Linked DNA regions of Cricetulus griseus. The protein of the gene in region 1 purifies or fractionates together with the protein of each later gene. This does not show direct contact. Links are inferred from orthologs where the notes say so. Each region holds a gene or a part of one and is shown on either strand. Other genes may lie near its edges.

Region 1 (4,155 bases):
CCACCATGAAAGTGCTCCCCCCCTTTTGGGTTCAGGGGAATCAAATTCAGGTCCTAATTGAGCTATTTCCTCAATCCACATTACCTCTTTTAAACAATGTAACTACAAAGCCCCCGAAATTACCTACATAGTTGCTGCTGAAGCACTTGGGGGCCTTGTCTTCTAACACTAGGCGCCTGGCTTCAAGTGTTTGCTCTTTCTCCTATTTAATTAACTGGCTGAGGCATTCCTTTACTAGGACTCTTGGAATTCTGCTTTCCTGCACTATGTGGAGAATCCTAGGGCACCTGACTAAGAGGCGCCTGAGGCTCTGAAAAGGGGAGTTTCAGGCTGCACAGCCGGCACAGGATCTGTGTTCCCTGCTGCCACTGCCAGGAGGACATTTTGAATAGCTGAGTGATTGCAATCTGTTCCGTGAGGGCGGTTTAAAGCCACGTGTTAGCCTTCATCACATTATGAATTTCTAAGGTCAGTAGTAGTTTATGGCCTTGGAATAAATGGGGAGGGTAGTTTATTGATTATAATCTGGTCATCACAGCACTCAGAAAATTTGTATAGCACAAGAATTCCTTGCTGTCTGTATTCTTCAGTGAGACATTTTCCTTCTAGTTTTCCCTCACTTCTTCGATTTAGCTTACCACTTCAAATGATTTTAAAAATCTTTTGAAAGAGCCCTTATTTAGGGCAATCCCATTAAATTGGCAGCTAGAGGCTGAAACTCTGGCCTAGTCCGCCCCTATTTTAACATTTGGATGATTCAAGTTGCTTCCAGTACTAGGTACCTTTAGTTTCGAGAATGAACCATGGCAATATACTAAGTATAGTGATAGGGTTTTATAAGGGGCTTTCACAGTAGCAGGTAAGCACAGCCTTTAAAGGAAGCAAGGAGAAAGGCAAAACTCACTCATCGAGTGTGGCCACATGAATGATCAGCTGAGTTATCCGGACCACACCTTTCAGCGCTTGAGGATGCCGCACTTTTAACACTGCGGGCCCCTCAAGTCCCCCGGTTCATCAAGACTGCGCCAGTCTGCCCAGGCTCCCACACCCTCTTGTCTGTCTGCGGCAGCGTCCACTCCCTCCCCGCAATGCAGCGGCGCGCCCCAGTCTGCAGCATCGGCGCACGCCCAGGCGGCTGCCCCGCCCCGTGGGCCCATGCAGGGAGGGGACTGCGAGCCGAGCCCGCCTCTGCGGCGGCCAGCCGGGCGCTCAATGGACCTGGCCGGCCGGGGGAGGGACCGTGGCCACCCGGCCGCGCCCGCCCCGCCCCAGCAACTACTTAAGAGGCTCTGGAGCCGACGCCTCCACCTCATTGCGTTACTTACCTCGACTCTTAGCTGTCGGGAACGGTAACCGTGACCCGCTGTCTGCTTTTGTCACCTTCGCCTTCTAACCCGTAGCTACCATGGTGAGTGCATCGGTGCAGGGAAGGGAGGCGAGGCGAGGGCTGCTCGCTGGGGCCTGGGGCTGAAGCGTGTGTGAGCAGGAGAGCAAGGGTCCCAGGCTGCTGGGGGCTGCCTGTATCTGAGGGAGAAGGGGCTCTCCAGGGTACCCCTGGAAGAGCGGGCGAGCATGGGGCCCCAGCTACTGGGGGTCGCCGGGGTCTGGGGGAGATGGGGTTGTCCCGGGTTCCCCTGGGTGAGCCGGGGAGCATGAGGCCCATGCTGAGGACCCATGAGCCCATCCCTGAGGACCTCCGGGATGTGGAGAAGGGGCTCTCCCGGGCCCCGCTGGACTTGGGTCTGCATCCGTCCACGCCCTGCACAAGGCATTTACAGCATGGCGCTTTCAGACTGCAGTCTTCCCGCGCGCGGGCCCTGCCCCCACCCTACCCTTGCGTTCTGCTTTTCGGGCGCGCGCACATAGCCTTTCCCCGCCCTCACTTCCTCTTCGGTGCGAAAAGGCGGGGGCGGGAAGACGCCAGGAGACAAAGACGCATGCGCGACCGTTACGTTCCCGCCTGAGAGCGGCGGGAAGAGCCTCTGCAGTGTGCGCGTGCGCGCTGCGGCACTGCGGGCTTAATTCGTTTAGGGTGTGTCTCCTGTATTTGGGGGGGACGGTGGGGCAAACCCTGGCCCTCGAATACTAAGCCCCCTCTCTACCTCAGCCTCGATTTTCCTTTTGCTTTTAATGAAAGCAATAAGAAATGTGGGGCAGGTCTCGGACTATATTCCACAATACTTAGCAATAACAGCGTGAAGTCTCAGCTGTCTCGAGTTAGGAATTTGTGTGGGACCAGGTGGTGACATTGAAGGGTTTGAGGGTAACAGAAATCGGATCTGAGCGGCTTATGATTCCCTGCTGGACCAGGACGGATGCGGGGGGAGCTGAGCTCAGCGCCTACAAATAGAGGAAGTGGCAAACCAGCTGCATCCCGGGCGCCTCGGTGCATGCACAAATAAATGCTCCATTATCTCATTCCGTAGAGCCCTGCCACCAGAACCTTCCTCATTGCTTAAGTCACATGCTTCCTCTGCCTACAGTTGTCCGGAAGTCTGGGCACAAAGCAAAAGTAGAACTCTGAGGGCACAGGGTAAATGAAAAGCCTTCGTATCTTGGTTTTCAAAAAAGGAAGTGTGACTAAGCACTTCTAGGTGTGGAAAGGCTGAAATTAGCTTTTTTTTTTTTTTTAATAAATGCTTGCGAGTTTTAACGATTTGTCACTTTGTGCCATGGTTAGAATTCCAGCTGCTTGCGGCATTACTAATAGTTTTTTTTTCCCCTTCTTTCTGTCCCACAGCGTGAGTGCATCTCCATCCACGTTGGCCAGGCTGGTGTCCAGATCGGCAATGCCTGCTGGGAGCTCTACTGCCTGGAACATGGCATCCAGCCTGACGGCCAGATGCCAAGTGACAAGACCATCGGGGGAGGAGATGACTCCTTCAACACCTTCTTCAGTGAGACAGGCGCTGGCAAGCATGTGCCCCGGGCCGTGTTCGTAGACCTGGAACCCACAGTCATCGGTAAGTGGGCCAGGGGCTTCCCTGAGGCATTCTGTCCTGGTCACATACTCAGAACCTCTCCACACACCGCCGAAGAGTGAGTGAGCTTGTGTGTGTCAGTTACTGTTGTGAATGGTTGATTTCATCTCCTTTTCCAGATGAAGTTCGCACTGGTACCTACCGCCAGCTCTTCCACCCTGAGCAGCTCATCACAGGCAAGGAAGATGCTGCCAATAACTATGCCCGTGGCCACTACACCATCGGCAAGGAGATCATTGATCTTGTCTTGGACAGAATTCGCAAGCTGGTAAATACCATAGATGGATGGATTCATTTAAAATGCAGTGTGGGGGAGTGTTGGGACCTGCCAAAATAAGTAAAGTCTGTTCACTACTGATAAACAATGCCTTTTCTTTTTTTCCTACAGGCTGACCAGTGCACAGGTCTTCAGGGCTTCTTGGTTTTCCACAGCTTTGGTGGGGGAACTGGCTCTGGGTTCACCTCCCTGCTGATGGAGCGGCTCTCTGTCGATTATGGAAAGAAGTCCAAGCTGGAGTTCTCCATCTACCCAGCCCCCCAGGTTTCCACTGCTGTGGTTGAGCCCTACAACTCCATCCTCACCACCCACACCACCCTGGAGCACTCTGATTGTGCCTTCATGGTAGACAACGAGGCCATCTATGACATCTGTCGTAGAAACCTCGACATTGAGCGCCCCACCTACACTAACCTTAACCGCCTCATTAGCCAGATTGTGTCTTCCATCACTGCTTCCCTCAGATTTGATGGAGCCCTGAATGTTGACCTGACAGAATTCCAGACCAACCTGGTACCCTACCCTCGCATCCATTTCCCTCTGGCCACATATGCCCCTGTCATCTCTGCTGAGAAAGCCTACCATGAGCAGCTTTCTGTAGCAGAGATCACCAATGCCTGCTTTGAGCCAGCCAATCAGATGGTGAAATGTGACCCTCGCCATGGTAAATACATGGCTTGCTGCCTGCTGTACCGTGGGGATGTGGTTCCCAAAGATGTCAATGCTGCCATTGCCACCATCAAGACCAAGCGCAGCATCCAGTTTGTGGACTGGTGTCCCACTGGCTTCAAGGTTGGCATTAATTACCAGCCTCCCACTGTGGTACCTGGTGGAGACCTGGCTAAGGTCCAGAGAGCTGTGTGCATGCTGAGCAACACCACAGCCATCGCTGAGGCC
Region 2 (3,646 bases), on another chromosome or scaffold:
ACATTGCGTCTTTTCAGCGTCAGTTTGTGTGTTGGTCCCTCTCAGCCCTACGGGCACTTTCTCACCTATGAAATACAAGTGGTAGAGGTGGCTTTGTGATATATTAAGGAAAAAAGAATGTCCTTACTGACTTTATGGCAGCCTTAGATAGCATCTTTTACTTTAGCTTTACACACAAAACCACGCCCCATCTTCCCTCATTCCTGGCCTTCTGCATCTCTCCACCTCTTTCAGTGGAATCACTAAGTTCCCCAGCATGGACTGGAGGCTCTTTGCAGCCCTAGCTGGCTTCTGCAGATAAGTTCCCCCAAGACTCCCATGAACCTCCAGTATTCAGTGTTGTTATTACCTTGGGATAATAACAGTGGCAGGAGTGATTAGAAGACATGACCTAGAGTTTCTCACAGGGTCATCATTGCCCAGGTTCTTGGGTTGACTCAGTAGCTCTTGAGACCTTAGACTTGAGTCTGAAATTGGGTGGACACTGAAGAGGCAGCAATATTTACTGACAGAAATTCTGGTGGGAGATCAGTCAATGTGTAGGAAAAATGGGTGAACCACGGGGGGTTAATGAATGGGGAAATGAATAAGTTGGTAAATGAATGGAAGGGTAAACTAATGCAAGACTTGAGAGTATAGATTGAAGCCGGGCGTTGGTGGCACATGCCTTTAATCCCAGCACTTGGGAGGCAGAGGCAGGTGGATCTCTGAGTTCGAGACCAGTCTGGTCTACAAGAGCGAGTGCCAGGACAACCTCCAAAGTTCCACAGAGAAACCCTGTCTCCAAAAACAAAACAAAACAAAAAAGTACAGATTGAAAATTGGAAAAACTTAGAGAATGAATTGAGTAGTTGGTAAAATCACCTTGTTGAATTAAACCCTGTAGCTGTAGGTTGGAGGCCTTAAGTTTGACTCTTCAATTTCCTTATTTTTTTCTATGCTGGAGATTGAGTTTCCACATGCTATGCAACCTCTCAACATTTCTTTTCTCTGCCTCTAGTGTCCTCTATTTCTCCATCCACCGCTATGAGCAGGGTCGGTTCTGGCCCCACCTTAAGGCTTCTAACTGGTCCACTACAGGTTTTGGCCAAGGCCAGGGATATACTATCAATGTACCTTGGAACCAGGTCAGTGTCTTCCCACCTGAAGTGAGCCTAGCCCTGCCCTCCCACCGACTCAAGAAAGGTGCCTGACTGTCCATCGTGTTTCTGTGTCTGCAGGTGGGGATGCGGGATGCTGACTACATTGCTGCTTTTCTGCACATCCTGCTGCCAGTTGCCTTTGAGGTCTTGGAGATCCAGGAAATTTAGGGGTGAGGGGCAACACTGAGGGATGACCTGTGAAGGAGGGTGTTCTCACATAGTCTGTTCCCTTCCTCAGTTTCAGCCTCAACTGGTCCTGGTGGCTGCTGGATTTGATGCCCTCCAAGGAGACCCCAAGGTAAGGCAGGTTCTCGGGTTTTAGGTAGGCAAAGGGGAGTACACTGGCCGGGTGTTGGTGGTGCACGCCTTTAATCCCAGCACTCGGGAGGCAGAGGCAGGCGGATCTCTGAGTTCGAGGCCAGCCTGGTCTCCAGAGCGAGTGCCAGGATAGGCTCCAAAGCTACACAGAGAAACCCTGTCTTGAAAAACCAAAAAAAGGGGGGAGTACACTGAGCTTTGTGTTCCTGCAGGGAGAGATGGCCGCCACTCCAGCAGGCTTTGCCCACCTAACCCATTTCCTCATGGGTCTGGCAGGAGGCAAGGTGATTTTGTCTCTGGAGGTGAGTAACTCACTTTTATCAAACTCTAGATCCTAAAGGGCTTAGAATTTTTATATTTGTTTATTCATTGTTTGTATGTACATGCACATACGCTATGCACATGTACCATGATGTATGTGGTCAGAAGACAACTGTGGGAGTTGGTTCTCTCCTTCCACCATGTAGATTCTTTTGGGGGATTGAACTTCGGTTATCAGGCTTGGTGGCAAGCCCTCTTATCCTCTGATCCAACTCACTGGCCCACTTGGAGGCTCAAGAACAGATCTTTTGGGCCTTGGGGATGGAGTTAAAAGGTAGAATGCCACAGGCGGTGGTGGCGCATGCCTTTAGTCCCAACGCTCAGGAGGCAGAGGCAGGCGGATCTCTGTGGGTTCAAGGCCAGCCTGGTCTACAAGAGCTAGTTCCAGGACAGCCTCCAAAGCTACACAGAGAAACCCTGTCTCGAAAAACCAAAAAAAAAAAAAAAAGGTAGAATGCTTAGCTAATATATAATATATGTAAGGGCTTCCATTCTTAGGACCACTGAAAACAAAACAAGAGCTTTCATGTATATAAGAAGTTCCTGGGGGCCAAAGAGATGCCTAGTGGTTGAGAGCACTTGCTGCTTTTACAGAGGACCTGGGTTCGATTCCCAGCATGGTGTCTTGCAAGTAGGCACATGTGTGGTACACATATACACATGCAGGCAAAACATTCATAATCATAAAGTTAATTGATTCTCAATTTTTTTTTGTTTGTTTTTCAAGACAGGGTTTCTCTGTGTAGCTTTGGAGCCTATCCTGGCACTCGCTCTGGAGACCAGGCTGGCCTCGAACTCACAGAGATCTTCTTGCCTCTGCCTCCTGAGTACTGGGATTAAAGGCAGGTGCCACCAACGCCTGGCCAATTCTCAAAAAAATTTTAATGTGCTTTTTTTTGTAAAGTTGTTCCTTGCTTGGCCTTACTTCTCCATAATTCCTTGGTGCCTCTGCTAATCACTTTACATCATTGTCCAGTAAATTAAATGATGTCACCATCTAGATTTCTTGTTGTTTGACATATAGTATGCACCCAAATATTGTTACTGTTATCAGTATCCTTCCCTGTTAATATATGGCCCTCTGCTTGCCTCCCCCAACAACTCCTTCCCCAGGGTGGCTATAACCTCCATGCCCTGGCTAAGGGTGTCAGTGCATCACTCCACACTCTTCTTGGAGACCCTTGCCCCATGCTGGAGTCCCCTGGTGCACCTTGTGCAAGGTAAGCCTGGGGGAAATGGGAAAGGAGAGCTCTTATTGCCTGCCTGGGGGCCGTTTCATCACATTTCTGCTTCCCTCACCCCCAGTGCCCAGACTTCAATCTCCTGCACGCTAGAAGCCCTTGAACCCTTCTGGGAGATCCTTGTGAAATCAGGTAGGAGGTGGGGGATGGGCAAAATCAGCATCAGACATGGAATAAGCTATTAGGAATATTCCCTTCCAGAACCCTTCTTTTTTGGTTTTTTGAGACAGGGTTCCTCTGTGTAGCTTTGGAGGCTGTCCTGGAACTAGCTCTTGTAGACCAGGCTGGCCTCGAGCTCACAGAGATCCACCTGCCTCTGCCTCCCTTGGACTAAAGCATGCGCCACCACCACCCGGCACCAGATCCCTTCTTGCTTTCCTGGGATGCCTTGGTGGGGATGGCTGTGTGGGTTTTAGGCCTTTTGTCTGGGCCACATTTGTCTCGAAATATGATGGGATCCAGATTCAGCAAGTAGGGTAATCTGAGCCCCTCTTTATAGTCGAGCCCCAGGAGGAAGATGAAGTAGAGGAAGACAGGGTGGAAGAAGAATATGAGGAAGATCGCTGGGAGGCTGCTGGACTGCCAATGGATACATGGCCAGTGCTACAGGATCGCACTGGGCTG
Region 3 (3,646 bases), on another chromosome or scaffold:
TGGAACTAGTTCCGGTTTTTTTTTTTTTTTTTTTTTTTTTGGAACAAGTTCTTGTAGACCAGGCTGGTCTTGAACTCACAGAGATCCGCCTGCCTCTGCCTTCTGAATGCTGGGACTAAAGGCTTGTGCCACCAATGCCCTGCTCCTAAACAAGTTTTTGTTTGATTTTTTTTTGAGGCAGGGTTTCTCTGTAGCAGTTCTAGCTATTCTGGGAATCTTTGTCAGCAAAGCTGACCTCAAACTTAGAGGTCCACCTGCCTGTTCCTCCTGAGTGTTGGGATTAAAAGGGTATGCACCACCACCTCCCAGCTTTTCTTAATTTTATGTATTTATTTATTCAATTTGGTTTTTCGAGACAGGGTTTCTCTGTGTAGCTTTGGAGCCTATCCTGGCAGTCGCTCTGGAGACCAGGCTGGCTTGAACTTACAGATCCGCCTGCCTCTACCTTCCGAGTGCTGGGATTAAAGGCGTGCTCCATAAACGCCCGACTAATTTTATGTATTTATTTGAGACAGAGTAATACTATGTTGCCTGGGCTGGCATAGAACTCACTGTATGGCTTTCTGGTTTCTCAAAACAGGGTTTCCTGGCCAGCCTGGTCTACAGAGTGAGTTCCAGGGCAGGCTCCAAAGCTACACAGAGAAACTCTGTCTTGAGAAACAAAAACGAAAAAAGACAGTTTCCCTATGTAACCTTGGCTGTCCCGGAACTTGCTCTGTAGACTAGGCTGGCCTTAACTCAGACATCCTCCTGTCTCGGTCTCTCTAGTATTGGGATTAAAGGCAAATGTCAGCACCACCTTTCTGGATAGGGCTCTTTCACTAAATTTATTCCAGGTTGCTTGTGTGAGGGTTATTTACCACACCCCGGCAATTTGCTAGTGGTTACACCATCTTTAAAAAATTACTTCTCATGCATCTTGGTGGTTTATATGTAATATGAGTTGACTTTAAATTTTTAATTTCTCTTGTGCCTGATTATCCTCCCTTTCAAAAAACCTTGCGGTTTTTTGTTGTTTTAAGATAAGGTTTTACTATACATCCTTGGGTGTGTAAGAACTCATAGAGACCTGTCTGCCTCTGTCTTTCAAGTTCTGGGGTTAAAGGCATGCATCACCGTGCCCCAAGGGTAACTTTTAACAATAATTTCTCTTCTTCCAGGGCGAAGAGAAGTTCACCTTTATTGAGAAATGTAACAATCCCCGTTCTGTCACATTACTGGTTAAAGGACCAAACAAGCACACACTGACTCAAATCAAAGATGCAATAAGAGATGGCTTGAGGGCCGTCAAAAATGCTATCGATGATGGTAAGCAGCATGCTGTGCTTGACTTGTGCTCTTTTTAGTCTTAAAGGCATGGCTGAATACTGTGTTCTTTAGTCAATAATTTACACAGCCAGACACCATGCAAAAGTAAAGTCTTCCTTTAAAATGATTGGTATGCTGTTTTTTTTAATAGTATATCATTATTAAAAGTAAGTACAAATAAATTATTAAAGCTGGTGGCTCTTGAGCTACCAATTAGAATGTTTTGCTCTTGGTTGTGGTTGCTCATATTGTGACTCAAGAGGCAGGTCTGTGCTGGGGTGTTACTGTTGGTAAGGCACCTACTTAGCATATGAGGATAGATGTACCCACATGTCTATCACCCAGTACTGCAAGAATATATAAATGCATATAACTAAATAATATTGTTCTGAAATAATTTTATTCTGTATTTGCTGGGTTGGGTTTTGTTTTGTTTTGTTTCTCTATGACTTCTCCTTCCCTTGTCCACAGGCTGTGTTGTCCCAGGCGCTGGTGCAATAGAAGTGGCAATGGCAGAAGCTCTGATTAAATACAAGCCCAGCGTGAAAGGCAGGGCTCAGCTGGGAGTCCAGGCATTTGCAGATGCCTTGCTCATTATTCCCAAGGTTTGAATATTTACCTTAGTTTTCCTTGCTGACAACCTTTGGGATGCAGTCATTTGTTTATGCTAGTTTCCTGAACTATGCCAAGCTAGGCAGGGTGCCACATGCCTTTAATCCTAGCACCTGTGAGGCAGAGGCAGGCTGGTCTTGGCCAGCTGTGTACATAACATTTCAGGCCAGCCAGCAGTGTTTGTAGCAAGAGATAGTCTGCCTCAGACCTGGGTGGGTAGAATTTAGAACACCCACCCTACCACACCTGGGGTAGGCAAGCTCTAAGTGTCCACAGCTGTACAGAGGAGAATGGAAAAAAGAAAGCCAGCATGGAGGTTGGTCACAAAGTGAAGACTAGCAGCCATATAGCAAGGCAAGAGACAAAGTGGACAGATCAGAACTGCATGGCAGCAGCCCAGTAGGCCATTGCTTGCATGGGTTGTTGAAGGATGAGCTTCTTTTTACTTGAGCAAAACTAATGGCCTTGTCATCATGAGCTACTCAGTAAAGGTGAGGGCTTATGACCAGTACTGGGGGAGTGGGGGTGTCTATTCTCTGGAGAGAACATGAATAATGAATGGTTCTATCTCAGTGCATGCAAACCACTGTCCTGTTTGTTTATTTATTTGGGGCAAGAAGGGGTGTGCTATAGCACATAAGGAGGTCAGAAGCCTGCTTTCAGGGAACTTATTTTTAATTGGAAATACTGTAAGTTTATTTAACATTCAGTTTTCAGTTTGTTTCTTCAAGAATTAAATTTGTTTGCTAGGTTCTTGCACAGAACTCTGGTTTTGACCTTCAGGAAACATTAGTTAAAGTTCAAGCTGAACATTCAGAATCGGGTCAACTTGTCGGTGTGGACTTGAACACAGGTGAGATTGTACTTCTTTGTGGGGGTAGACTAGATTAGATGCAGGAAAACTGGGGAAAGTGAAAATGCCTGGGGGATCTTGCTGTGCCTCCCTGGTTTGGAATCAGTCCTGCCCTTCTAAGTTGATGTTACCCATAACTGTACCAACTAGATATGGAGACTGGGGCATGGGATGGATATTTTAAATGGTGGAGTAAAGCTAGTGGCATGATCGTAACCCTGCTTTTTAGCCCCTATAACACAAATGTACAATATAAAGCAGAAGGCCTACTGTCCATACTCACTAACTTAATTGAAGAGATTGCTGGAATGAGGGAAGTCAACAGGAATGAGTCCATAGCAGAGGGGGGTCTAAATGCTTGCTCAGCAGCTAGTGCTTTGTCATAAAGAGATATGAACCACATGGCCAAGATTCTGGAAAGGAGTGGTGAATAGTCAGTGATAACCAGTACTGTTGCTTCATATTTTAAAGATTTGAAGTTGTCTTTGACTACATAGCAAAATCCTGTCTAAGATAGTCCAAATTGGTCCTTGTTTTCTGTTCTAGAATTGGTGGGGTTTGTTCATAAATAGGATGATTTCTTGAAAAAGGTAAAGGTATTCGATTGGGGCTAGAGAAAGATAGTTAAGAGCAATAGTTGCTTTTCCAGAGGACCTGGGTTCCAGTACTAGCACCCACATGGCAGCTCACAACTGGTGTTACTTCAGTTCCAGGGGCTCTGATACCCTCAGGCATGCGTGCAGTTAAAAGACCAATGCATGTGAAATAAAAATCACTTTTTAAATTAAAAAGAAAGGGGCATCTGATAATTTGTGGTTTCAAGGTGTGGTATTTATTTTTCAGGTGAGCCAATGGTGGCAGCAGAGATGGGTG

The links.
Region 2: the proteins of Tuba1b (region 1) and Hdac6 purify together in Homo sapiens (affinity purification with western blotting; 4 studies listed by BioGRID, with this or other methods). This does not show direct contact. The link is inferred for Cricetulus griseus from reciprocal best matches to the Homo sapiens genes TUBA1B and HDAC6.
Region 3: the proteins of Tuba1b (region 1) and Cct6a purify together in Homo sapiens (affinity purification with mass spectrometry; 3 studies listed by BioGRID and IntAct, counting the BioPlex papers as one, with this or other methods). This does not show direct contact. The link is inferred for Cricetulus griseus from reciprocal best matches to the Homo sapiens genes TUBA1B and CCT6A.

What each region holds. Positions count from the first base shown.
Region 1 is NC_048595.1:395,400,702-395,404,856, reverse strand, and holds the start of Tuba1b (tubulin alpha-1B chain), read left to right. Parts: upstream 1-1,306; 5' UTR 1,307-1,405; coding exon 1,406-1,408; intron 1,409-2,740; coding exon 2,741-2,963; intron 2,964-3,100; coding exon 3,101-3,249; intron 3,250-3,369; coding exon 3,370-4,155. UniProt on the Homo sapiens protein: Tubulin is the major constituent of microtubules, protein filaments consisting of alpha- and beta-tubulin heterodimers. Microtubules grow by the addition of GTP-tubulin dimers to the microtubule end, where a stabilizing cap forms.
Region 2 is NC_048604.1:114,403,176-114,406,821, reverse strand, and holds part of Hdac6 (histone deacetylase 6), read left to right. Parts: intron 1-1,000; coding exon 1,001-1,127; intron 1,128-1,220; coding exon 1,221-1,286; intron 1,287-1,380; coding exon 1,381-1,440; intron 1,441-1,672; coding exon 1,673-1,762; intron 1,763-2,894; coding exon 2,895-3,001; intron 3,002-3,086; coding exon 3,087-3,154; intron 3,155-3,521; coding exon 3,522-3,646.
Region 3 is NC_048597.1:109,117,525-109,121,170, forward strand, and holds part of Cct6a (T-complex protein 1 subunit zeta), read left to right. Parts: intron 1-1,160; coding exon 1,161-1,308; intron 1,309-1,354; exon of another isoform or gene 1,355-1,487; intron 1,488-1,779; coding exon 1,780-1,913; intron 1,914-2,670; coding exon 2,671-2,773; intron 2,774-3,616; coding exon 3,617-3,646. UniProt on the Homo sapiens protein: Component of the chaperonin-containing T-complex (TRiC), a molecular chaperone complex that assists the folding of actin, tubulin and other proteins upon ATP hydrolysis.